Oryza sativa Japonica Group: one gene and its partners. The main gene of each other region encodes a partner of the protein of the gene in region 2 in a complex. Links are inferred from orthologs where the notes say so. Each region holds a gene or a part of one and is shown on either strand. Other genes may lie near its edges.

Evidence for each region.
Region 1: large ribosomal subunit protein bL9c (region 2) and large ribosomal subunit protein uL10c share a complex: the UniProt entries of both Arabidopsis thaliana proteins name them as parts of the 50S ribosomal subunit. The link is inferred for Oryza sativa Japonica Group from reciprocal best matches to the Arabidopsis thaliana genes RPL9 and EMB3136.
Region 3: large ribosomal subunit protein bL9c (region 2) and large ribosomal subunit protein uL5c share a complex: the UniProt entries of both Arabidopsis thaliana proteins name them as parts of the 50S ribosomal subunit. The link is inferred for Oryza sativa Japonica Group from reciprocal best matches to the Arabidopsis thaliana genes RPL9 and AT4G01310.
Region 4: large ribosomal subunit protein bL9c (region 2) and large ribosomal subunit protein uL1c share a complex: the UniProt entries of both Arabidopsis thaliana proteins name them as parts of the 50S ribosomal subunit. The link is inferred for Oryza sativa Japonica Group from reciprocal best matches to the Arabidopsis thaliana genes RPL9 and EMB3126.
Region 5: large ribosomal subunit protein bL9c (region 2) and large ribosomal subunit protein uL3c share a complex: the UniProt entries of both Arabidopsis thaliana proteins name them as parts of the 50S ribosomal subunit. The link is inferred for Oryza sativa Japonica Group from reciprocal best matches to the Arabidopsis thaliana genes RPL9 and AT2G43030.
Region 6: large ribosomal subunit protein bL9c (region 2) and large ribosomal subunit protein bL27c share a complex: the UniProt entries of both Arabidopsis thaliana proteins name them as parts of the 50S ribosomal subunit. The link is inferred for Oryza sativa Japonica Group from reciprocal best matches to the Arabidopsis thaliana genes RPL9 and RPL27.
Region 7: large ribosomal subunit protein bL9c (region 2) and large ribosomal subunit protein uL15c share a complex: the UniProt entries of both Arabidopsis thaliana proteins name them as parts of the 50S ribosomal subunit. The link is inferred for Oryza sativa Japonica Group from reciprocal best matches to the Arabidopsis thaliana genes RPL9 and RPL15.

The regions. Positions count from the first base shown.
Region 1 is NC_089037.1:9,831,879-9,834,609, forward strand, and holds large ribosomal subunit protein uL10c, read right to left. Parts: upstream 1,348-2,731; 5' UTR 1,287-1,347; coding exon 624-1,286; 3' UTR 501-623; downstream 1-500. UniProt on the Arabidopsis thaliana protein: This protein binds directly to 23S ribosomal RNA.
Region 2 is NC_089036.1:35,818,859-35,823,114, forward strand, and holds large ribosomal subunit protein bL9c, read right to left. Parts: upstream 2,801-4,256; 5' UTR 2,782-2,800; coding exon 2,659-2,781; intron 1,992-2,658; coding exon 1,864-1,991; intron 1,514-1,863; coding exon 1,468-1,513; intron 1,199-1,467; coding exon 1,101-1,198; intron 1,017-1,100; coding exon 969-1,016; intron 867-968; coding exon 746-866; 3' UTR 680-745; intron 564-679; 3' UTR 326-563; downstream 1-325. Other genes in the region: 4-coumarate--CoA ligase-like 3, read left to right, coding at 4,117-4,256. UniProt on the Arabidopsis thaliana protein: Binds to the 23S rRNA.
Region 3 is NC_089037.1:1,440,999-1,444,394, reverse strand, and holds large ribosomal subunit protein uL5c, read left to right. Parts: upstream 1-1,211; 5' UTR 1,212-1,279; coding exon 1,280-1,582; intron 1,583-1,715; coding exon 1,716-1,916; intron 1,917-2,307; coding exon 2,308-2,643; 3' UTR 2,644-2,896; downstream 2,897-3,396. Other genes in the region: probable polygalacturonase, read right to left, coding at 2,974-3,396. UniProt on the Arabidopsis thaliana protein: Binds 5S rRNA, forms part of the central protuberance of the 50S subunit.
Region 4 is NC_089039.1:18,889,689-18,893,777, forward strand, and holds the start of large ribosomal subunit protein uL1c, read left to right. Parts: upstream 1-1,289; 5' UTR 1,290-1,468; coding exon 1,469-1,837; intron 1,838-1,943; coding exon 1,944-2,123; intron 2,124-2,233; coding exon 2,234-2,288; intron 2,289-2,554; coding exon 2,555-2,682; intron 2,683-3,143; coding exon 3,144-3,227; intron 3,228-4,089. UniProt on the Arabidopsis thaliana protein: This protein binds directly to 23S ribosomal RNA.
Region 5 is NC_089036.1:1,980,082-1,983,515, reverse strand, and holds large ribosomal subunit protein uL3c, read left to right. Parts: upstream 1-1,134; 5' UTR 1,135-1,228; coding exon 1,229-1,760; intron 1,761-2,493; coding exon 2,494-2,783; 3' UTR 2,784-2,934; downstream 2,935-3,434. UniProt on the Arabidopsis thaliana protein: One of the primary rRNA binding proteins, it binds directly near the 3'-end of the 23S rRNA, where it nucleates assembly of the 50S subunit.
Region 6 is NC_089035.1:41,095,372-41,099,150, forward strand, and holds large ribosomal subunit protein bL27c, read left to right. Parts: upstream 1-1,433; 5' UTR 1,434-1,516; coding exon 1,517-1,825; intron 1,826-2,623; coding exon 2,624-2,725; intron 2,726-2,810; coding exon 2,811-2,987; 3' UTR 2,988-3,279; downstream 3,280-3,779.
Region 7 is NC_089037.1:6,341,527-6,345,765, forward strand, and holds the start of large ribosomal subunit protein uL15c, read left to right. Parts: upstream 1-1,439; 5' UTR 1,440-1,498; coding exon 1,499-1,916; intron 1,917-2,082; coding exon 2,083-2,234; intron 2,235-3,220; coding exon 3,221-3,442; 3' UTR 3,443-3,456; exon of another isoform or gene 3,457-3,558; intron 3,559-4,198; exon of another isoform or gene 4,199-4,239. Other genes in the region: uncharacterized protein, read left to right, coding at 1-4, 174-907.

The DNA of each region.
Region 1 (2,731 bases), on a different chromosome or scaffold from region 2:
TCAATTTTGCCAATTCTATTCTTGATCCACTGCGCGTTCAGACAGAAATGATACAAATTAGGTATGTGGTGAGCTGGTGACCAACAGTAAGTTTCAGAAGCTAATTCAGAAGAATTTCCAACTCTAATTAGTGTTATTCTGTTACTAAAAGATGAATTAATCATTTAATTTTGTTCACTTCAAGGAGGTTTGCTCTTAACAAAAAGAGCACAGTTAAGTTCATGATTTTAAAACATCTCATCATACTGCTTTGAACAACTTTGTTGTAAACCTGGATACACTGATTGATGGTACAACTACACAAGCACTAGTAGTTATTGACCATTCTAATTGTGCATTGCCATTGCCCCTCAACCTACTAAACTTTGATCTCTGTAGTCTCTACAGGTAAAATTAAATTATCAAAACACTAGTTGTGGAACAAGCATTCCCTCTAAGTACGCAACGTAATCCTAATAACATCAGAACTCGGTAATCTTATGAAATCAGACCAGTAGGCATGCGTTGTAAGAGGTAAAACTTTTGTGATTCAATTCAAACGTGAGGCAGTAAAAGTACAGGAATTCTACAAGAAATGAGTGAGATGAGAGAAACGAAGCCACAAAACCATCTCTCAACAGCCATCAGGCGGCGCCGACCTCCTGCTCGAGCTTGCGCACGTACGCCGAGAGCACGGAGACGACGTCCCTGGCCGGCGCCTGCAGCGTGGTGACGACGGAGGTCGCGGGCCCCTGCAGCGAGCCGAGCAGCTTGGCGTACACCTCGGCGCGGCTGGGCATTGTCTCGAGCGCCTTGAAGTCCCCGGGGGCGTAGAACTTGCCCTCGAACACCGCGCCGACGAAGTCGTTGGTCTCCTCGAGGCGCTCCTCCTTCTGGAAGGCGCGGTAGGGCTTGAGCGCGGCGGGGACCTCCTCGGTGTGGACGAACAGCCACGCGTTCATCCCCTTCATGCACGGCTTGAGCGCCTCCCACGGCGTGCCCTCGATGGCCTTCCCCACCAGCGTGTTCTTCGCCACCAGCAGCCGGCAGGTCTCCGGGAGGGTGTCGCGGATGCCCTGCAGCTGCTTCACCGTGAGGCCCTCGTAGCGGATCCCGGCGAGGAGGTAGCAGCCCTCCAGCTGCTCGCGGACGGCGGCCACCGTGTCCTCCTTGCGGCCTCGGGTGATGGCCGCGCTGATGGTGGAGCGGCGGAGCGGGCGGGGGCGGGGGCGGGGTGCGAGGGTCTGGAACGCCGGGAGGGGCTTCGCGGTGGGGAGGGTGGTGCGGAGGAAGGAGGAGGTCTCCATCTTCGGAGGCCGGGAGCTATGGCGGGTTGGGAGAAAGAGTGGAGTGGGAGAGCTTATCTGTGGGGAAGATGAGGCGGGGGGCTCACTGGATTATGTGGGACCGTATCGTCAGTGCCTGAGAAGATGGTGAACTCAGCTCGGTCAGCTGCACAGAAAGAAGCTTCCGTGGAGATTGACCTTTGCTTGAGGATTTATAGCCGTTCGATCTTGATCCATGAGCGGTTGAAAATAAGATTAAGAGTTCCAAATAAAAAAAAATAGAGGCATAGAGCAAACGCGTATGTGTGGTATTCATAGACGTCAATTTAAACCATAGTGAGTGAAGTCGTGTACCAACAACTCCAATCTTCACTGCCTTGTTCAACACAGCATACATCACTATTGTTTTCTTGAGTTCAAAAACTCTTGATATGTACAATAAAACATAACATACATCAGTGTACTGAATTATTCAACACAATAGATATCACTATATAAGAAAATGACAGCGATTAGGCGCCCGATCAGCGGTAGAAAAATCGGGCGCTCGCCGCCTCCCGCACGCTCCCACCCCTTATGCGTTGTCCCCCCCCCCACGTGCCCCACCACACGCGTCGTTATAACAAATCACCCGCACATTAAGGAAATACTTTATTAAAGGAATCCGTTTCATTTTTTTTTCCACCAACAATGTTTTAGCAAGTGTACTCGTGATGTTTCACTATGTATGATCAAATGTTGCAATGATTTGAAACATCCTTTGCTATTTGCTGAAATATTGTTTTTATATAGGATGAAACAATGCCTGATTTTTTTTTGGAAACTGTTGTTTCATATGTTGTAACAAAATATTTCACGATGTGATTTGGTTGTGTTTCAGCTTTTTTAAAAATATTGAAACATTTTCGATCTATTTAGTGAAACAATGCCTGATTTTTGTAAAAAATCGAGCGCCCGATTTGTAGATGCATCACTATATATATATATATATATATATATATATATATATATATATATATATATATATATATATATATATATATATATATATATATATATATATATATAATTCAAACTTTTTTTTACAGGTAAGAAAACCATGCGAATCTCTTGTACGACGATCAAAATGGATATAAACATTGCAAGGATGTCAGGTGGAAAGGATATAAACTGCGACGATCAAGCAACAGCAGCTGCTCTGATGCTGTAAACACGGAGTTGTTCCGGACTCAGCATGCTCAACGCAATTTCACAGAAAACCAAACATCCGATGCTTACCATTCTCTCCATAACTCGTGTGCACTTCAAGCCATCCCTAACATGAAATGATGGTTTTGATAATGGAAGTGTATAGTTCATATAATAATGTCATTGGTAGTACTGAAATCCAAGAAATAAGATGCAGGGAAACAAGAACGTCTGGTACAGGGTGAAATTCACTTTTAGCTCTGCTGCAGCTCTGCTGC
Region 2 (4,256 bases):
CTAACTTTTTCCACCCTCACCCACAAACAAATCTAACCCAAATAGTTTATGTACTAACAGGATGACTAATTAGCTCAGCTTTGCCCGCGGCACACACTTTTGGCATATAAAGTCCGTGTCAAAGTTTCAGATGAAAAGTTTCTGGATGGAAGTTTCCAAACGAAGGTTTTTTCAGATGAAAGTTTTCATTAAAAAATGTGTTGAAATCCCTATGTTTGGGCCTAATAATACAGCGACCAAGCGGCCCAACCTACGACCACCAGACTGCCTACGTGCCATTTTGGCCCACCCAACCCAAATATTGTAGTAGCTCTATCAAACTATATGACTATAAAGAACGTGCACCTTTAAACAAGATTACAAGACAAGTATCAGTTGCTCTAGACTCTGAACCCTTTGTTGTTTACATCATGCCCATTTAACCCCATAACATTAACACAAATAAATTTGTCAAAAAAAAAAAGGTGCAAGAAACTGACTTTACAGGTAGGATGGACAGTGGCAATGTGTAAAGACCAAGCCCCGTGATGTGACACTGCACCTTGGAGTTTCAGCAAAAATCTCTGCAAGTAAATCATTGCATGAATTCAGCTGCTAACACAATTGACGAAATGTATATGACAGCTTAAGAACGGAGCAAAAGGTAAGGAACAATGGAATGCCTTGCAGATGAGCTTACCTGGTGAAATCAGAATTCATCCAAAGCCCACCATCCACTAAAGATTCAATCAAGCAGCTTCAGGGCTTATTTCGCATATACGGTCAGCCTTACTTGAGCTGTGACTTCAGGGTGAAGCTTAATCTCTGCAATGTATTCCCCAATTTCACGAATTTCTGGCACTGTCACGAGACGCTTGTCGACATCCCTACATGAAATAGTTTCCGGTAAGCAAAGCAACAGCAGCAAATAGAGCATCGCAATCCTTCCTTAAAAGGTAGTGATTGTCAGTGCACTTAGAAGGGCATACCTATTAAGTTGTGACTTTATGATGTCAACAAGATCTTGTGCTGTGACGCTGTAGAATAGAAGAAAAACTTGTTATTAAGTGCAAGTAAAATAAGACGATACATAAAGAACTATCTACTCGATAAAAACTTGCCTCCCAAATATCTGTTTTCCTTTCCCACCTTTACGTGGCACTTTGAATGCCCCAATAGTTTCAAAAACACGGGCAAGTTGCTGTGCCTCTTCTTTTACCTACTCAAGCACAAATGCTCAACAGGGTAAGATTATGCTAACACTGGATGAAAGTTCTTATACTCTTATGGAAAATGATATTGGTAGGAACAAATCATGCTTTAGACTTTTTACAAAATAAGCTAAACCACAACTACGTACCCTGGAGAACAAGGATTAGTAGGGTATAACTACCACAGTAGTTTTTAGACAGACAGGAACAAATAGGAATAAGTTTCAACTATATCAATTCTTACTGAGTCCACAAATAGAATAATAGGTTTACTTACCCGCTTCTTTTCAGCATCTATCCTCTCCTGTTCTACTTGCATTTCCCTGTAGACAGCAGCAGAGGAAATTAAGTAGCTTACTAGCCATCCTTTTACAAGAACTAATTGAACATGTTGAACACCCCAGAAGAACTGAACTAGAAATGCAGAATAGGCATCTATAAAAGTTTGCAGATTTATATGTCAATCCTGGGCTCCACAAGGAGGCAAGAGATACAATGGCTAACACAACAGAATAAATAGCTGCAAATTTACACCTGCAGCATACTGTGAAAACCAACTACGATGAAACATAAGCATACGTCAATTAATTTACTAGGAGCACCTATCTGTTGGTTGAAACATAGCCTATACAATTCGTGAGATGTGGTAAATGACTGTAAGACAGAAGATTACTTGAGTACTTCTGGGGTGAGCAGCGTTGCCTTGCCCTTTGGCAGAAGGAAGTTGCGGTAGAACCCGGCCCTCACTTTAAGCGTGTCCCCTTTCTTCCCCACCTCTGCTATGTCATCTGTCAGTATGACCTGGGAGAAAAAGAAACTCAAGTGAAGTAAATCAAATACGGAATCGTGCATTACATGCTAAAGTATAGAAATGCATAATAGACAAGGAAGATGATGACATAGGCTTGGAACATTTTACAGTTTACAGGTGCAAATTTTGAACTGGGTGTATCTAGATGCCTTTTAGTTGCAACTTTCCCTACAAACAAACAGCATGGCCAAACCAACAATTCCGGCGTTCCGGGGCATATACAGAATCATATTAGAGATGACTTTTGCATCTGAGTTGCAATGCTAAGAGGCACCTAATTAAAAACATGACGATAGTTTCTTCCATTTCCATGTACTGCATCAGAGCATGCGTCCATGGCAATGTATCTTTTCCTATACTCAGATGTGTGAATGCACACAGTAATCTTAAGCTTACAGCTGCTGCATTTCGAATTTTTCGATCGATGGAATGCAGTCGCATGCGCTTTGTAATCTACTGTACTGATTAGTGGACAGGGTGGTGACAGACAGTACATTGGGTATGGCTAGTTCTAAAAGAGGCAAAACAAAAGCATCACCAGCAACAGCTTGTTCAATCAGTCAGTACTAGTACTGCTTAGCTCGAACGAATCGCAATTAAATACATACATACATACATGCTGCAACTGTGGAGAGAAAATACAAGTGGAAGCCAAACCTGGCGATACTTCTTGACCTTGCCCTGGGCGACGACGACCAGCGACGGGGAGCGGCGCGGCGGGAGGCGGGAGGAGGGGGCGGAGGAGGAGGCGGCGGAGCTCCAGGCGAGCGTGGAGGCCATGGCGTTGGGGATGGATTGCGGGGGAAGGGAAGGAACTGCGGCTGCTGCTCTCTTATCCACTTCCCCAACGGATTTGGTGCCCTCTCTCTTGGGCTTTGCGCTGCTTTGGGCCTTTCAAATCGGCCCAGTATCAAAGGTTTTCTTCGGGGTTGTCATGGGCTTGAAGATTAAGGGTCATTTTGGTTTGGCGCTCCTTCTTGCCTTACTAATTCTTTGATAACTTAAAGGTCAAAAATAAATTATTTGGTAACTTTGAATAGTTAACACGTAACTATTTGAATTAGAGTCAAATTTTGCTAAATCAATAAGGTGAAGCCAAATAGACAATAACAAAAATTTAGTAATACCAAAATTTACTCAAGATTTGGCATTGCCAATATTTTGGCATGGTTTCATACCAAACAAGTCGTAATAATAATCCACCAAATTGTAACCCCCTTCCACTCAACGTATAGAGAAAGGTAGGAGATATATATGTACGTGATACCTCGACGATATTACTAAGATAGATAGATAGTACATGTGATGCCAAGATGTTATAACATACATTAAGAGAAACACTCAGGGGTCTTCCGGCTAGCTCCACAAGGTGATAGCCTAAATGACCTGGATTCGTAACCTCACCCCTTCTAATTATTTGATATTAGGTCCTTCACTAATATTCATGTTATAACATAAATCGAGAAATATATTATTATAACACTATTTTGGTGCTATCTTGAAACTCAACGATACATCACTAGCTACCATTACGTATAAACGTGTATTAATAGTATAAGCAAATATCAACGAGTATCATCAAGTATCAATGTGCAAGAACGAGTATTAGCAAATACTCCGTATCTTCATGAATAATATCAAAGAGTATAATCAAGTATCATTGTTTAATTATCAACGAGTATCATCAAAATATCATCCTCGTATATCATACTCCAGTATCATCTTGTTGTACTTTTTCTGACAAAGATCTCCAGCTGGTGACCTGTTTCTCGAAAGGAACAAAAATTAAAAAAAAACCTAGCAAATCGTTCTTAAAAAGAATGGCGATTATATATCTTATTGAATTAGTATGTCTACTGCTCAACGAGATGAGAAAACCGAAGAGAAGAGGGGTATATAATCGAGTATATGTCATCGTCGTCGTCATGTCATGCAGCCGTCCATGACTTCGTCCTTCCCGCCATCGGAGAAACCAAACAAGCGGACTCCACGAAGCTAGCTAAGCTAGCTAGCGCGCCAAAACTTTAAAAATCCTCACACCCTCTTCCACCTTCGCTTCATCTCCAATCCAATTCTCCATCGATCGTTACACCCAAAGATCGAGATACCAATACCATGGAGGAAATCTTGGAATCCGAGTACTCGGCCGCCGCCGCCGCCGGCGACGCGGCGTCCTTCGTGCTCTCCCGCTTGCCCCACCCCGACACCACGGCCTCCGCCGCTGCCGCCTTCGTCGTCGACGTCGCCGGCGCCGG
Region 3 (3,396 bases), on a different chromosome or scaffold from region 2:
AGCCTTGTAATATGCTTTTCTGTCCTGTTAATAGAAGAATAATTTAGATAGATATTTGGAAGCTCATTTGGACGGTGGAGCACACAGGTATTAGAAATGATGTGCTGGGGCTGAATGGCTGATGCTTTTGCTAGTACTGCTGGTAATGATATATATTAATCAGTACCATTCTGAATTTATTAGTCTGGTTGAGTCGTGCTGCTGACAGTGAGGTGTTCACTGATAAAATGTGTACTTTCTTTTATATTCTTTATTTGCCGACATTCTGTATCTCTTGTTCACGAGATGTGCCGGATGTAAATATGAAAGTGATGCATGGCTGATTACTTTTTGACCGTGAAGAAGAATTAATGAAGCTTATGCACACTAGGCGGTTCCTCCATACTGCTGAATGGCTGTTCATTAAGGCCCTGACAAGTGACAAGGTCACAGACTGACAGTTACTTCTTGAGGTCAAGGAGGTTAATGTAGTTTATCAGGATTAGGTTGCAAACTGACAAGGAAGATATTGTCCGTTGTGTTTCTACTCTTGGTGTCAAGTCGATCCTCACAGGATCACGGTCGTGGCATTGCTGGTCCTTGGTAGAACAAGGTAGGGCAAGCGCAATGTTGTGATCTGGGACCTTTCAAATCAGATCCTAGTGATTGTCCCCTGGTTATAAAGAACTGCATGTTACGGTTACTGCATGATTAGTTAGGCATAAGCATGTGACGAGGATCCTCGTCGTGATATTCCGTCCATTTTTCAATGTTGATCAAGCGTGGCAGATCTCCTGCTGATCTGCCAGCAACTGTTGCTAGGTTCAGAGTTTGCTTGATCTTGTTTAAGCTCTTCATCGGCGTTTTTTATGTTTGAAGTCATCGTTTAATGGCATACTACTACTATACTAGTGATGTCCTGTAGTGCATTAGAAAATACAGAATGGGCCACATACTCAAACACTGTTACCGGTTGACCAAAACAAGGCATATATCGAAATTCACACACTGCAGACTTGCAGTTGTTGACTCATGTAACTTTACCCTTCTCTTAGGCCGTGTTTAGTTCACCCCCAACTCAACGGTTTTGATGGGCCTAAGGCCCAAATCAACGGTTTTGATGGGCCTAAGGCCTGAAACCATGTCGAACAGTTCGATGGGCCGAACCATGACGAGAAAGCCCACCTGCGACACTGGACAGCAACGGCAGCCAGCCACAGCCAACTCGCCTTATCCCGTAATCCATCCATGGCATAAAGCTCCCTCCTCAGCTCCCACCTCCGTCTCCGCGCACGCTCCAATGGCGGCCACGGCTGTGACCCTGCCGTCCTCGCCGGCCCCCTTCCCCGTCACCACCACCGCCTCCTCCTCCCGTAACGTCCGCCTCCTCCTCCGCTCCCCGCCTCCTCGCCGAGCCCTCCGCGTCGCCGCCTCCGCCGCGGCCGACGCGCCACCCAAGCCGGCGCCGCCGCCGACCTCGCCTTCGGGCATCGTCCTCGTCGACCCCACCGAGGCACAGAAGGTGCACCGCCTCAAGGCTGTATACGACCAGAAGGTGGTCCCCCTCATCACCGAGGAGTTCGGCTACACCAATGTCCACCAGGTGTTCGACCTCTGTCTCCCTTCTCGCAATTATAGGATAGACATGGCCATTTCTTTGCGGAACTCGGGAAATTCGATTGTTGTTCAATAATTGAGCTTAGAGGAGTGTGTTTTGGATTCTCGATTTTATTCAGGTGCCCAAGGTTGAGAAGATTGTAGTGAATTGCGGGTTGGGGGCTGAAGCCGGTAACTCCAAGGGGCTCGAATCCGCCATGAAGGACCTCGCCATGATCACCGGCCAGTGGCCCGTCAAGACGAAGGCCAAGAAGTCCGTCGCCAGTTTCAAGATCCGCGAGGGGAACACCATTGGTATTGCCGTTACGCTCCGCGGCAGGGTGAGTCCTCTGTACCTCTGGCTACTTGCGATGCAGACATTGACAAATTGGGGACTGCAATGTTGTATCAATTTGGGATTTGCATGACAGTATAATAGCCTAAAGTATGTGTGAGAATTGCAATTACTCCATCCAGTTCCAAATTATTGTCACCGTTGGCCGTCAGTATTTTACATTGACCACAAATTTTAAATGGTTGGACGAACGAAAGTTTAATACCTATCTATGTGGAGTAACAACCTTTAATAATATGGCATATTTTTAGGTATATGCATTTTATTTTCTAAAAAATATAAGTGATCAAAGTTCAAATATGAATAGTATCCAGTGACAAGTATTTGGGAACCTAGGGAATATGTTTGATCGATGAGCTTATTTTGGCTTGCTGCAGGTAATGTTCAACTTCCTGGATAGGCTCATCAACCTTGGGCTTCCTAGGACCATGGACTTCCTTGGTGTCAACCCCAACAGCTTTGATGGCCATGGCAACTTCACCATAGGCCTTCGTGATCAGGGCGTGTTCCCGGAGATCCCGTACGAGGTCGGTGGGAAGAAGAATGGAATGGACGTCTGCATCGTCACCACCGCGAAGACCGACAACGAGGCTCTCAGGCTGCTCACCCTCCTTGGCATGCCGTTCGCGGAGCACATCAAGTCCTCCGTGGTGATCCGGAAGAAGAGGTTGAAGCGCCACCACTTCATGAGCAAGGGCAGGGGAAGACGGTGATTGCAAACCGCTGCCTAGGCACGTTGAGCTTTGCTTCTCACTTTGTCAATTGTCATTGTTTTTGCAAAGTTTCGTTTAGAAGTTTGATGATTTTGTTATCTTGTCACGTGCTGTATTTACTGTCAGAAGACAAAATGAAAAGGCTTTGCTTTGGTCAGGTCATTCGCAGATGAGCACTCATAAATGAATTGGGTGTAAAGAGATTATCCGGCAGCATTTTCAAACTGCTTAACTTTACTCACTAAACCACATCATATATATCTCTTTGGTCCCAAGCATCTCATAGCCCAGGCCATTACCCACACCATACTATCATCCTATATCAGTATTTCAGTAGCTACACGTTGGCAATTCAGGCGGACCGATGACGAGCTCTTCTTCAGGGAAGGCGCATGGCTTGCCCGCCGCCCCGAGCTCCGGGCACGGCACCGGCGAGACGTCGGAGGCGACACCCTTGACATCGGTGCAGTTCCATTGCAGCTTCTTGGCGTCCGGCGCGAGCTGCGCGGTGACGTTGGACATGCAGATGCCAGTGTAGGGGTCGTTGGGAATCCCCTCCATCCTGCCGGCCATGGTGACGTTCTCCGCGAACACGTCGCTGTAGTTGATGCCGGTGACCTCCGGCAGAGCGTTGGGGTCGGAGGAGTTGTCCGGGTGCTGGCCGTAGTTGCCGGTCATCCAGAACACCCACTTCATGGTGTGGAGGCTGAGGCCGCGGACGAACACGTCCTTGACGTAGCCGCCGCGCCCCAC
Region 4 (4,089 bases), on a different chromosome or scaffold from region 2:
GCTTTTTCAAACGGAAGGAGACGGCGTCGGGTGGGGGGACGCCCTGGAGACACGCATTGTTGATGCTCTCAGAACCCATGAATTGCATAAGATTAAGACATTCAGTCCAATTTCTTCCAATATTCTTTCTAAAAGAGATCTTGTAAAGTTTGCATGTGACAAAAAAAAAAGAACTACTACATAACACTATACTGTTACAACAGAATACCTTATGGTGCTAACATCAGCACAGGATCGTAGGTATCATATTTGTATGTGCACTGGATCTGGTACTACCAGACACGATATCCATTAATACCACATTATCAGACTCTCGTATTGGTTCCTATTTCCTTCGTCCCATAAAAAATCAATTTCTAGGAATGAATCCGGACAACATTCTTAGGACATTCACAGTGCGCTACATATTTTTGCCGTTCCTCATATGCCACGTAGACGAAGAACCTGTTAAGCTTCATCCTCTACAATGCAAGTACTAGTAGTGGGTCCCACCGGTACAGTTTTTTCAATTTTCATCTCTCAATCTCTCTCTCTCCTCTGTTTCTTTTCTCATCCGAAATCTTTCATCCCCCAATCTCTCACTCTATTTCTTTTCTCACCAGGGCATCCGAGGCGCTGGGGCTGAGCGGCGGCGGCTGTCAGGGCAGCCCGAGCTGCGACGGTGCCGGACGGCGAGCTCCCATCCTCATCATTGGATACGGTGGCGGTCGCAGCCTCTTCGTCGATGGCGCCTTCCTCTCTCTCTCTCCCCGTGGCTGTGGCGACAATGCGCTCGCTGTCGACGCTGCGCGAAGCCACTCGTGTGAGGCTCCGCCCTCCACAACACGACAACTCACCTTTCTCCCTGCTTTCTTCGTTTGAAGAACGAGTATCCATGTTTGGGTACGAGAACCTTATTTGGCTCCGCGTACTGTCAATGCGGCGCCGAATATTCAGTTCTTGGCTATGGGGCTGAACGTCACATCCTTCTACTGTGAACACTCTTAGAAGTTGTATCTTTTGGGATAGAGAGTGTAGGTACTCTGATGGTACGGCCAGACATTTCTGATACTCTCGCAACTAACAGATTATGGGTAATGGTTCGTAGTATTTTTAAAAAGTAAATAGCACTACATTATCGGTGGTTCTTTTGGACCGTACCCAGTAACGGCGAAATCGTGAGCTTTTGGGCCCAATCCGACGCCCGCGGCGCCGCAGCGCACCACCCTCCCCCAACCGTCTCCCCCGCGCGCGCGGGCACACACGGCTCGGCTAATCCAAAATAGCCCAAATCGCACGAGTCCTCCCCCGTCCCCCGCGACGCGCGAGCGAGAGAGAGCCCTATCCGCTGCGCGCTTCGCCCGCTCGCCTCGCCCTCGCCTCACCGGCTATTATAACACTCTCGCGCTGCCACTTCGCCTTTTCCTCCCCTTTCTATCCTCCACCTCGGCTTATCTCCTCCCCCCTCCCCACCACCACCACCACCACCATGGCCACAGCCGCTTCCCTCTCCGCCACCGCCTCCTCCCTCCTCGCCCCCGCCCCCGCCACCACCGGCGCCGCGGCGGCGCAGTGCTGCTCCTCCTCGTCCACCGCGCTGTTCCCCACCCCCGTCCCGTCGCTGCGCGCCTACTACCCGCGCCTGCTCCTCGCGTTCCGCCGCCCCGCCGTCGCCGCCGTCGCAGACCCGCAGGGCGCCGTGCTCGAGGAGGAGCAGGGGGAGCAGCAGGACGAGGGGCAGGAGCAGTACGACGACGACGACTACGACGACGGGTACGAGGGCGGACGCGGCCCCGCGTTCACGCCCCCCACCCGCCCGCGCACCGGCAAGGCCGCCCTTCCGCTCAAGCGCGACCGCGTATGCCCCCCCCGAATCCAGCCTCCCCCCCGCGTGTTCATCCATTCGTGTTGATTTTTGGATTGACGCTGACGCCGCGTTCGCCTTTTTTTTGATGGGTTTGCAGACGAGGTCGAAGCGATTCCTGGAGATACAGAAGCTGAGGGAGAGCAAGAAGGAGCACGACGTGCCCACGGCCATCTCGCTGGTGAAGCAGATGGCCAGCGCCCGATTCGTCGAGTCCGCTGAGGCGCACTTCCGCATGAACCTCGACCCCAAGTACAACGACCAGCAGCTCCGCGCCACGGTTATTGCTCTTTCTCTCTGCTGTTGCCATTGTTACGTACGTTCTGTTCTGGCTTGTGTTTTATCAATCGTTTTTGATGATATTGGATCGGTTTTGGTGATGATGTGCAGGTTAATTTGCCCAAGGGGACGGGCCAGTCGGTGAAGATTGCGGTCCTCACACAAGGTGGGTTGCAATTACATTTTGGAGATTGTTATCGCAGCACCAATTCCAATTGCAATCTTTGGTGCATGGATTGATTAGGTCACTGCTAGTTGTGTCTTTTAGGTGTGGTTTGCCTGCTTGATCATGTGGTTATTTACGGTTCATTAAATTGGAAGCACGCTGTTATATAGTGAATTGAAATGGAAGTATGTGAATGCGCGCTAGTCACTAAAGTGGTGCACTAATCACTAGCACTATGTAATGGCTATTGTCAAATATCCTTGCAGGTGAGAAGATAGATCAAGCAAGAGCTGCAGGAGCTGATATTGTCGGTGGAGATGACCTGATTGACCAAATAAAAGGAGGATTTATGGAATTTGACAAGCTGATTGCATCACCTGATATGATGCCTAAGGTATGGCATTAGCTGCATAACTCATGTCTAAAACAATTCCAAGCATTATGAAGACTTGTCTTTTTGCATGTCTCCGACATAGTTTATCCCACATCCAAATGAACACGTTATGTTTCAGTGTTATTAGGAACCACAAAACCAGGCAACATTTAGTTGTATTGATCAGATATTGTTTTCTTATCATTACCTGCCATATCTGATCCATCCCTTCATATTACAAGTGTCTAGCATTTACGATTATGATTTGAGCCATAATGGAGATATGCAAATTTGGTTCACTCAGAGAAAATAGATTCGATAAGCAAATAAGGTTCTACTGTTTTGAATTGGTACATTCTTCGGAAGTTTGGATGCAGTTCTGCAATAAGTGTTGAGCTCCATGCAAGACCTGCATGGAAGTTTTAAAGGTGTGCTACTAGCTCGGCATATTATGTTGTTGATTTTGGTCTTTTGCTTCACAGGTCGCCGGATTGGGAAAGATTCTAGGACCGAGAGGACTTATGCCTAACCCCAAAGCTGGGACTGTTTCTCCAAACATAACTCAGGTACAATGGAAATTCTACAGATTACTATATGTATTGACACTGTTGCTTGTGGTTTTCTCTCCCATTTGCTTGGTTATTGTGACCCTGAGTGAAAGGTGGGTAACTGTCCATTTACCTTCTTTGATCCTTGGTGAACTTCTGTTTTATCCTCGTTCAATGCAATAGGCAGAACTCCTGCCCTTTTGTTCAAAGAAGTTGTCCATTTACGTCATCTCAGTACTTACCTCATAGATGCACTTCTGGGAGAAAACCTACTGATATATTGCTACCTTGTTTAGTAGTCTTCATTGTGTGTGCAATATATTTCAGTGGTTCGATTTTCAGACATGTTGATAGACATTTTTTTAACCTTGTTATTCGTAGATAGAAGGTTTGAAATTTTGTTTGTGCCAACTGAATTTGAGGATATGCATGGATGCATAGCTCCATCGTTCGTTTGTTGGCTTATCAACGGCAGCCAAAATCTGGATTTTGAAACTTAATTTAGAATTGATTTTGAGGGGTTTTTTTTATTGTGCTTTATTCTCCAGTGCTGGCTTTTGAATCGCTAAGAACATAGATATAGACGTTTTACTCAAAAGTTATTTTTGGTTGCTTCGTCATTTTTCCACGGCTTATCAGCCATAGAGCAAATGATCGTGTAATGACTGATGATGATGGTAATCTGCTACTTAGCCTGCATAGTGCCTCCGTAACAGTTATGTAAAGCATCACAACAAATCTGCAAAATAGAGAAAACAGGTAAAGTAGGCTACTTGACTGTTAGGAACAACCATCATTTATAACGGTTAACTGAAGGACAGGAGTGGGAGCATTTGTGAAAAATCTAGCCCTTTAGGTAATGAACTGGGCTATATTGTGC
Region 5 (3,434 bases), about 34 Mb from region 2:
TAAAGATATAGCAAAATGTGAATTGTGAAAATACTAGTGATGGAGCGCAAGATTTGTGTTTTTGAATCTCACTCGCGTAGAAGGCAATGGATTTCTCTCGTTGCTTTCAATTCTTGAACAACGTTATTGGTTCGATAGAATTTGAAGTGTTCAATCACTATTTTGTAGTGAGCTATTCTGAACTGTGTTAGTGCAATGAAGGTCATCGAGAGTGCAAGTGGCTAACCTACAAAAACCCACTTATATACTAAAACAAACCATCTGTACCAAACTCAGTTCCCATTGATATCTTCCCACCTGGTGCACAGGGGCACCGTGCTAAGGTACAATTGATCTAGGTAAAAACACTTGACTTTAAGTAAGGACACTGGATAGCACGTTATCTAAAATAAAACTCGGTAAAGTTATATGGTCTCAATGGCAAAGCTAGCAGCATACTTAAACCTGGGAGACAAGGAACGTTTACTAGTGATCCATAAATTTTCGGTATTGCTAAAAATATGTCGCTACAAATTACGATGGATTTCAGTCGGTTGTTTCAACCGTCAGATGCGGATGCAGAAATCATCGCAGTGTACGCATATCCCTCCGATTCTGTTCTCTTCTGATCTCTTCTGTTGTTTTAATGTTATTTGCTAATTAGGATTACTAATTAGTCTTAAAAACTAAATATCCGTGTCATCACAAATTTATAGTTTTGGGAATTACATCAACTTACACATGTAATTTTGAGAATTGCATATGTAATTTTAGTACTTACATATGTAATTTTGGAATTTACATTGTAAATACACTAAAATTATATATGTAATTTAGGGACTTGCAATGTAAATACATGCCGACTATTTTTTTGGTGAAAAATACGGCGCTATAAATATATATATAGTTACTCCCTAAATTTTTACATGTGCTATCAATGGAGAATAGTAGCAACATCAGCGGCGGAGTCTGTACGGTCGCCCGACCTGCCCAGGAGGTAGCTCCGCCTGTCTAGCCTAACCTGTAATTTATTATGCACCCGTGGTATTTTGCAACTGTTACGGAATCCACCTCCCCGGCAAAGAAAGCGTATTCCTAAAAAGCGCCTCTCTGCAGGCGGGAGGATAAGGGGGCATTAGCCGCAAACCCCAATCCAATCGAATTCAACACGAAAAACAACCAAAGCAGCAAGCGAAGCCGGGACACTGCTGGAGTGAGCAAATCCCCGCTCGAATCCGGGGCACCAAGAATGGCCATGGCGGCCGTGGGCATCGGCGGCGGCGGCGGCGGCGCGCTGGGCCTCCTCGCGCCGCGCCGCCGCGCCGCCTCCTGGAGCGGCGCAGGTGGCGCGGCTGCGGCGGCGGCGCGGCGGCGGCCGCTGGTGGCGGTGGTGCGCGCGTCGTACGAGGCCGGGGTCGGGGTGATGGCGACCAAGGTCGGGATGATGACCTACTTCGACCCGGCCACCGGCAAGCCGGTGCCGGTGACCGTCGTGGGGTTCCGGGAGGGCGGCAACGTGGTGACGCAGGTGAAGACGGCGGCCACCGACGGGTACGACGCCGTGCAGGTGGGGTACCACGGCGTCCGCGAGGAGAAGCTCACCCGCCCGGAGCTCGGCCACCTCGGCAAGGCCGGCGCGCCGCCGCTCCGCCACCTGCAGGAGTTCCGCCTCCAGTCCGTCGACGGGTACGACCCCGGCCAGCCGCTCGACTTCGCCGACATGTTCAAGGAGGGCGACCTCGTCGACATCTCCGGCAAGTCCATCGGCAAGGGGTTCCAAGGTCAGTAAACTTGATTATTTTTTTTTACTCCCTTTTCACAATGTGACTACCATTTCGCCCTGTCTGAATTTGAACAATGCTTTACATTGTGAGGAAGACTTGAGAACAAGCTTGAAATTTTGCTGTATCAAATTTACCATATGCTCACCAATGTTAGTGTACAGAATTGTTCTTGGGAAGAATCATTTAGCCTCTTCTCTTGATTAGCGTCCTAGACTTGCACAATGGCATTGCCAATATGGCAATGTCAATGCTGTTCTTGGAGTTGCAGACCTGTACCATGTCAACACATTCGTTATAGTTCACAATTTATTGCAACCATCAGCATCACTTGTATAATTTTCATGAAGTGAATATAACATCGTAAACCCGTTGCAATTGCGCTCTTGATTTGCTGCGACCAACGATTTGCCAATACCGCAAACATTATCCATTTCATGTATATTCTTCCCAAACAACATAATAAAAAAGACACAAATATTAGAGAAGGACCTAATATCAAATAATTAGAATGGGTGAGGCTTCGAACCCAGGTCGTCTAGCCTACCACCTTGTGGAGCTAGTTGGAAGACCCCTGGGTGTTTCTCCCCAAACAACATAATCGTTTATAGCATTCTCATGAAGTCAAGAGCACCAATATCTCTTTTAGTTCCTGATCATCTAATGGCAATATGGCATAATTGTGCAACTATGCTCTCAATTTGCGACTGACGGTTCTTGGACATCGACACAGGTGGCATCAAGAGGCACAACTTCAAGCGAGGGCTGATGACCCACGGCTCCAAGAGCCACAGAGCTCTGGGATCGATCGGTGCCGGGACGACGCCGGGTCGGGTGTACAAGGGGAAGAAGATGCCCGGGAGGATGGGAGGAACCAAGACCAAGATCAGGAAGCTCAAGATCGTCAAGATCGACAACGACCTGAAAGTTGTCATGATCAAGGGCGCCGTTCCAGGGAAGCCCGGGAACCTCCTCCGCATCGCTCCTGCCAAGATCGTCGGCAAGAACATCCCCAAGAACTAGACTATTTTTCTCATGTGTTTCGTCCTGTTCTGTGAGATTTGTGATCTGTTGTTTACTGAATTACTGTAAATTGGAGATGTTCTTTGCCCATGTCCAGGTTTTGTATACGCGTAACTTTGAATTTCGTAAAGCTAATTTTTTTTCTACTCAATCTTATCGATCTCCCGTTCTCAGTTCACACTCTCTTTGGACTAGAAGCTAACAGAATCTTAATCATCTTGTGCTTGGATGTCAAATTTGCAATCACTGTTTATTCTGTGTTCAGGGAATGGAAACATGTAATGGTAGACGGTAGTGTAACAAACACATCTTGAGAATCAAACTTCACCAAGCGTCAACAATCTGACAGTTTTACCAACTTCTCCAATACTGAATTATTGTAAACTCTCATGTCTGAACAACCGAAGAGTGCAGAGCGCGACATGGCCAACCGCAGCAAGTGCAACAGAGGGAAAATGTTAACTAAGCATCATGTACAAACTACACATCAAGTGCAACAGCACGAAATGTCAATGTAAAGCTTCCAGTCACCATTAACGCTAACTTCTACAATATCTTCAGCAATGACACAGGGACAATAGGTTTCTTGCATCAGTCAATGCGACACATTATTAGGCCATGAAATATTCTCACACAAGTCACCGAAGCTGG
Region 6 (3,779 bases), on a different chromosome or scaffold from region 2:
AAAAAATTATGAAAATATATAAGATATAAATCATGTTTAAAGTACTTTGAGTGATAAAACAACTTACAACAAAATAAATTATAATTAAGTAATTCTTTTTAAATAATACGAATGGTTAAATGTGTGAGAAAAAGTCAACGGCGTCATATATTAAAAAATGAAGATAGTATACAATTTATTCCTATAATTAAGTAGATAATCTGTGGTAATAATCTAAATCAAAATTTGGGGGGGGGGGCTAATCATGAATTGAAGATGAACAGTGGAAAACGGATGGTGGGGTTAAGGAGGGCTAGCTATAATTGGATCCACAGATCCACACTCCATAGCGAGGCACACTTTGTCAAGGATGAATCATGCATGGGCATGGCCGGTGGGGGTGGTGTGTCCATACAACAACAACAAGGAATCAATCCCCAGCCAGCCTACTTTGCCTTTGCAGTCAAGCCCGCCATCATTCTTGCTCACAATTGGGGCTCTTCGATTCACTTCATCCACACACTCAATTCAGATTTCATCCACACCTCCTCCTCCTCTTCTTCTAGCTTCCATCTCATATGCTTTCTGGAATTCTGGTGGCCCTAACTCCACTCCTCTCCTCCCTCTCGCAAAGTGACTTCAATCTCCAGGAAATATTGTTGATTTGTTGTTTTCGCCACAAGAATCACAACTTATGCTCTCTCTCTCTCTCTCTCTCTCTCTCTCTCTCTCTCTCTCTCTCTCTCTCTCTCTCTCTCTCTCTCTTTGAAATTCATGATTCATTTTTGGTCTTTTCTGTTACCTTCTGCTAATATATTTCTCTATTTTTTTTCTCCATGTTACCTTCTGCTAATATATTTCTCTTTTTTTTCTCCGTAATGTTTAATTCAATACTATAATTCCATCTAATTTGGGAAGCGAAAGTGATGTGGTGGTGGAGTTGTGGGTATATGATTTTATCCTCCAGGGTTCAAATCCTAGCGCCCACGAATATTACGCATATGCAAGTGGACTTTCAACAAGATTTTAGTGAGATTAATTAGTAATGTTCCGCTAGTTTCTCTCTCTTAGAGCGCATGTTAAGGGACACATTCGCAGGGCTATGAGTGTGGTGTTGCTTGTGTAATAGTGTGTGCGTGGGTGCGTCTGCAATGTAACTGAAAAAAAAAAGTAATTCCATCTAATTTTGTCCAGCAAAAAGAAAAAGAAGAGATGTATGGGCCGGCCCTTTTCCTCGCGTTTCCACGAAGCCCACAACATCGGGCCCACAAAGGCTTTGCGGTAGGCCGGCACGTGATTCCCACCCACGTGCTGGGCCGGCGCGTCATTCCCTCCCGCTTACGTGTGCTGGGCCAAAGTACGTGGGCCGGAAAGGGATTCCCAACCGCGTGATGGGCCGTAAATGGGTGATCCCGACCCAAAAAAAAAGAGCCCACGTCTTCCTCTCCACTCCCACGTTATCACCTCGCCGCTGTGCTCCCACACTCTATCTTCTCTTTCTCTTCTCCTCGCGACTCCGCCGCTGCTCGAGAGCGCAATGGCGTCCATGGCGTTCACACTGGTGGGAGCATTCAAGGGGATGTCCCTCTCCTCCCCGTGCCATTCCTCCTCCTCCGCCTCCTTCCTCCGCGCTGACCGTGTCTCGCTCTCCGTCGGCGGCGGGGTCGGGATGGGGGTGCCGATGACGATGCCGGTGCGGCGGCTGACGATCCAGATGGCGCACAAGAAGGGGGCCGGGAGCACCAAGAACGGGAGGGACTCCCCCGGGCAGCGCCTCGGTGTCAAGATTTACGGCGACCAGGTCGCCAAGCCCGGCGCCATCATCATCCGCCAGCGCGGCACCAGGGTCATCACCATCCTCTTCCTTTACTTACTGGTTCTTGGATGTTTCATGTGTTCGACTTTTCTCCTCAAATTTTGACTGATAGTATAGCTTCGTCCAGCTCTGAACAATTTGTGAATTTAGGTGAGGTTGTTGTGTTAACTAACATCTGCACAATTCAGAGTTCAGGAATGGTGTGAATATTCTTTAACAAAAAGGCATGACAATGATCGTGTTCCAAAGTTGGTCCTAGAGAAAGTCTGTTATTCTATGCAACGCCACCCGTTTGCTAAGACGTGGCCGCATGTGGTACATTCTTACCAATATCGTGGGATGTGGCCAAGAATTACACACTCTTCAGACTTCAGGGGAACTAGATGTTTCAGGCACTCTAATGCAATGCAGAGAGAAAAGGAGGAAGTACACTTTGATATTAGGACGTGCTGTTTCTGCACTAAAGACTCAACTGATAGTTACTTTCTTCACATCCATGAACTAACATAGCACAAGAATGTGCTACATAAATGTGTGTATCCTGTAAAAACAGTTGCATGTGCTGCTAAACTACTTCCTCTTATGTATTGTATCGTATTGCAAGGCATGCATGCATCCTTTCGATGTACTTTCCAAGTTCTGGCATTTGTCCCGCTGTTTCAGTAATGCATATGCAACTTCTTTGAAGTTTATCCCTGAACCACCACACACACCCTCTGCAATAGTCTATGTTTCTACATGTTATGAGCAGTTGCGTTTCATACAGTAATTTCACATTTTACGGACATATTCTTGCTTTTTCTTATACATTTTCATTGGTCATTTTAGGTCTATCCTGGAAATAATGTTGGAATGGGCAAGGATCACACCCTCTTTTCTTTGATCGATGGCCTCGTAAAGTTCGAGAAATATGGACCAGACAAGAAAAAGGTGAAAGTCTGCATCCTAGCTATAACTTGTCAGCATCTACTTATAATTGTATCTAAGTGGTTTTCTGTTGCCTTTTCTTTTACAGGTAAGTGTTTACCCATACGAGAAACAACCTGAGAACCCAAACAGTTACAGAGCAAGAAAGAGAGAGTACTTCCGCATGCAGCGTGAACGCAAAAAGGCAAGAGCAGAGGGAATTGTTGAGGTGCAATTGGTGTTGGCAGCTGCAGATGAAAGTCCTGAGGTCAATGCAGACTGCTGATAAGTTCTCTGCCCCGTTTTTCTCCATTTTCGCAATCCATGTTTGATAACAATGTTTGGAATGTAAATCATCAACTATGAGATGAATACAAGGCCCATCTTCAACTCCTTGTTTAGCCATGTTCGGCTTGCTGTATCTTTTCTGGCAGCTAGGCTTTAGGAACTAGGGCGGGTCTATTCCAACTGAATCATCAACAGTGAGATGAATACAAGGCCCATGTTCAACTCATTGGTTAGTCCTGTTCGACTTGTTGTATGCATGTACCTTTCCTGGCAGCTAGGCTTTAGGGACTAGGATGGGTCTATTCCAGTATTCCGGTACCACAAGTTCCACGTAATTGTGTTATGGGTGTTGTGGTGGGCTGATCTGATGCTTGAAAGTAGTGGTATTCATGTGGAATTGCAATTTGCAATGGATCAACATCATCACTGGGGGTATGATATATGGTTCAGGCCGTATTTGAAACTACTTTACAAGAGGTTCTTGCAAAAGTAGTTTCTTTTGGCATGTAGGGCTGTAGTGGGGTTTCAGCCTCTTAATTGATTTGGTTGCCGCAAGACTGCAATGAGACATCTGCATTTCCTTGATTCCTTCTTGAGGGACCTACTATCTCTACTCTCTACAACGTAAAGTATGTGAGTTGGTGATTGGGATGGTAAGTTCTACGCCTGCATCCTTCCTCCAATTTTCGCTCACAACTTTGACATACATCTCAAAGGAACATCTTTTACCAGGAAAAATAGGATGCATTTAGGTTCACTATTATGAAAATCAATTTCATCGCTGTCATGG
Region 7 (4,239 bases), on a different chromosome or scaffold from region 2:
AAAGGTAACATTTGGCTTAAAAAGGAGGTTCCAGTTATGATAACATTTTAAGACCATAAAACAGTCTATTTTGTTGAAATGCCTTGAGATGACTCTTTACTGCAGATATACATTTTAAACTCTTAGTATGCCTACTCATACAAATTGATGATACTGCTAATTTTTGTTGGTAGCTTTATCTGTAGAAGCACCTGATTGCAAAGTTGAAGAATCAGCCCCTGGAAGTTGGCACAATGCGCATGCATCAATTAAGGGTGGAAAAGGCAATAAGCATGAACTGGAAGAAACCTCTGCTGGGTTTCCTCCTGATGACTCTATTGGTATTTCTGGAATGGAGTCCTCTTCAAGAGACACAGCTAATAAGAAAATCAAATTGTCAAAGGATATTGGTTTGGACCGTCTAACCGCCACAACTGTTCAGGAAGCACCGAAGCGTCCAAGAACAACCTCACTAAAGAAGAATCAAGAGTGCAGCAGACAGAAGAAAAGAAAAATAAGCAAGTGGGATGGTTCCTACTCTGTAATCATTGAATGGTTGAATTACTATTCTGTGGATGAGTCAGATGAAGATGAGGTGCCTTTGATAAATAAAAGAACCGAAAGAAGAAAGCGGCAGAAGTTACTGAAACTTGTTCTTGCTAGGGAATCCAATAGTGGCAGTGAAGGTGCTAGTTCTACATCTTTTGTAGAAAATGGCAGAAATTCTAGCAGTGCTGGCTCTTACCCCCTAAGCCAGGGGGACAATGACAAATCTGAAAATGTGCAAGCTAATCGAGTTGATGTAAGTTCATTGCCAGATCATCCTGTAAGTAGTCATGTAGCAGCAGAGGATCAAGCTGGCCAAGCTGCATCGTCACCATTGAACTCACCAACTAGAGGTATCGTTGTTGACATTTCAGATGGTTGATGGCCAGAGTTCCATTAGTTTCTTTCAGCTGAGGCCTGGACGTACAATTATCCAGACTACAGTTGTAACACTTACTTTTAATTCCTTGCACCTGTCTACTGCTAGACATGCAACGGGACGATCCTGTGAAGCATGTGTCTTGTACATGTCTTCGTTTCTTCCTTTCTCATTTCACCTTTTCTTTTCTTAGCATAGATCAGTTCAGTATACTTAACTCTGTCAGGTTGTGTGACCCATCAGTTTCTCTCCGTACTAGTCTCTTGAAGAACAGCAAAGATCAGGTTTTCTCTTTGGTTGATTGTGTGTGGAAGATCAATCCAAATATGTTCATTTCTTAAGAAGATAAATTCAGTTCTATTCTATTCATAAACTTTTGTAAACCTTCTAAAATCCTTTAATAAACAAGAAGCAAAGTGAGTAATACGAAACCATTCACAAAATAGAGGGAAAAGAGGCCCAAATTCCCAAGGGTTAATTGGATTCATGGCCCATTTATCCAACCGTCTTATCTCCCTCGTGTCCTTCCCCAATTATCCCCTTCTATCCACCCACACCAGCAAGCCGCTCAGGCGCGCTCTCCGCTCCACCGCCATGGCGTCCATCACCCTCCTCTCCCTCGCTCCCGCGGCCACATTGCTCCACCTCCCGGCCTCCACTTCGCTCTCCACCTCCTTCGTCGCCGCTCCAGGCCCCATCTCCGGCCGCCGGTCCGTCGTCCTCCGCGCCCGCCCGCGCCGCTGCGTCACGGTCGTGTGCAGCGCCGCGGCGGCCGAGGCCGCGGAGGCGGAGCCCGCGGAGAAGTTCCGGCTCGACAACCTGGGCCCGCAGAAGGGGTCGCGGCGGCGGCCGAAGCGGAAGGGGCGCGGTATCGCGGCGGGGCAGGGCGCGAGCTGCGGGTTCGGCATGCGTGGACAGAAGTCGCGCTCGGGGCCAGGCGTCCGGCGCGGGTTCGAGGGAGGGCAGATGCCGCTCTACCGCCGCATCCCCAAGCTGCGCGGCATTGCTGGAGGTGAGTCTCTTCGAGCTTCCCGCTTCCCCTCCTCGCCCTCAATCGAAGCCTCACACATTCAAATGCACTGGAAATTGAGTGGGAACACGCTAGCACCTTCCATTTGGAATGCAGAAATGCTGGGATTGAGAAGTGACCCGTTGCAAGTTCTACCTTGCGATTGCAGGAATGCATATTGGCTTGCCGAAGTATGTGCCGTTCAATTTGAGAGACTTGGCGCGTGGCGGGTTCAAGGATGGTGACGAGATATCATTGGAATCCTTGAAATCGAGGGGTTTGATTAATCCGTCTGGCAGGGAGAGAAAGCTTCCTCTGAAGGTACACTATACGACGATTATCCTTCTTTTTTTTAAGTCGGTTCTGTAGATGACCATGTTTTACTGAAAACTGAAATATGAATGCCTTGCATTTGATCTTTGCCAGTGAATTCATCAAGTTCACCAGCAGTCTTGGGTAATCCTTTAGTTGTTGATGTTGTGGATTGAATGGCTGGCCTTTTTTTTTCTTGTAGTTCTCAAATGTTGCTGTGTTGGTCTGTCCTTAGCAGCAATTACCAAGTTGAGTATTCGAAGTCTCAAAGTTGTGTGTCGGGATCAATTTTCTTAGCTCGTGTTGGACAAACACGGTATGATTTGACGAGTGTTTCTATTGGCTACTCAAGGATCTAGAACGTATGAGTTATGATGAACCCACACATGGTGTAGGCCTGCATATGAGCATATCTGTCAGGCATAAACATGAAGTGGTATCAAGATCCCAACAAAACCATGTGCTCTTACATGTACCACTGCATGTCTGCATCACTCCCAACATACCCAAAATATTTACTGTTTGTCTCCACTCTTAGTTGGCGGATTGCTGGAGTAGATGCATTAGTGTGCTACTGGGTTGCCCCTTATAGTGGGTAGTGGTGTGGCGCTTGATCACTGATGTGACAAAGACTTCTCCAAGGGTGGAACTTAATGCACCTTGAATAGCATAATTGTTCAACTTTTATTGTTCTTTCTGGTCCTATTTCATTTGATTGATTTTTTCTATACTCTAGGCTCCTAGCTATGTGGTACATATAAGGTAAAACCCACAGGGCTAAAACAGGTATCAAGACCTAAGTCATAATGTGGGGAGCTATCAACTTTATCCTTATGATAGGCTTTTTCCTTCTTGACATCTGATTCTGATGTTCAGCAGATGGCGTTCCTTTCATCTTTGTTTGAGTACAATGATACTGCAATGTTGCTGTTGTTATTGTATCTTTTATCATGCGGGTAGTATTAGTATGCTAACTTTTGAAAACCTATCTGTAGATTTTAGGAGATGGTGATGTATCAGTCAAGTTGAATATCAAGGCTGGGGCATTCTCTGCTTCAGCCAAGGAGAAGCTCGAGGCAGCTGGTTGTACTTTAAGTCTGGTACCAAAGCGGAAGAAATGGCTACCACAATCTTATCTGAAGAACCAAGCTCGTGCAGAAGAATACTTTAGCAAGAAAAATGGTGGTGCTGGTGAATCTGATGAAGCATCTGCATAGAATTCATATACACTGTACTTCTCCTTTACCCTTTTCTTTAACATATACTTATTTCTCTTACCTTGTTCCAAAAGTTCCACGTTCAACGAATTTTGAATCCGTGCGATATGCAAGCATTTTTTTTTGTGTGTTTCCTGTTTAAATGGAGAAAATTCCTTCTATACCCCTGAAAGTTTAGCCAATCCCTTCTACGCCTCCGAGTTTTGTCCACTCCTTTGTATGCCCCTGAATTTTGGTTTTGATCCCTTTCATACCCATACCGTTAGTTGAATGTTTAATTCTAATGAAAAGGACCTTTTTGCCCTTAGACATGAAGGAAATCTAAAAATTGTAGACTAGCTATATTGTTGGAAGTGTATAATTTTGTTATATAAGACTATCATATTCATGACTTTATTGTACAAGGTATTATTCATGGCAAAGTTTATTTTTACCTAATGACATAAAAACTAATATTTATTTACCTACTAAAAGAGTATATGTAGCATTTGTTTATGGTAGTTCAACATATTTTCTCCTGTTGTATATATTATATAGGAATGCTTTCCAAAACTATGTTTATCATTTAAAAAAATGCTACATGTACTTTTTAAATATATATTAAATTTTTTATGTACATAAAACTTATGAATATGATAATCACACAACAAATTTTATACTTCCAACAATATAGTTTACAAATTTCTACATATTCCTCACATATTGAAGGGTAAAACTGACTTTTATATACCTATTAAACGGTCAATTAACGGCAAGGGTATGGAAGAGATCCAAATCAAAATTCAGAGGTATACAAG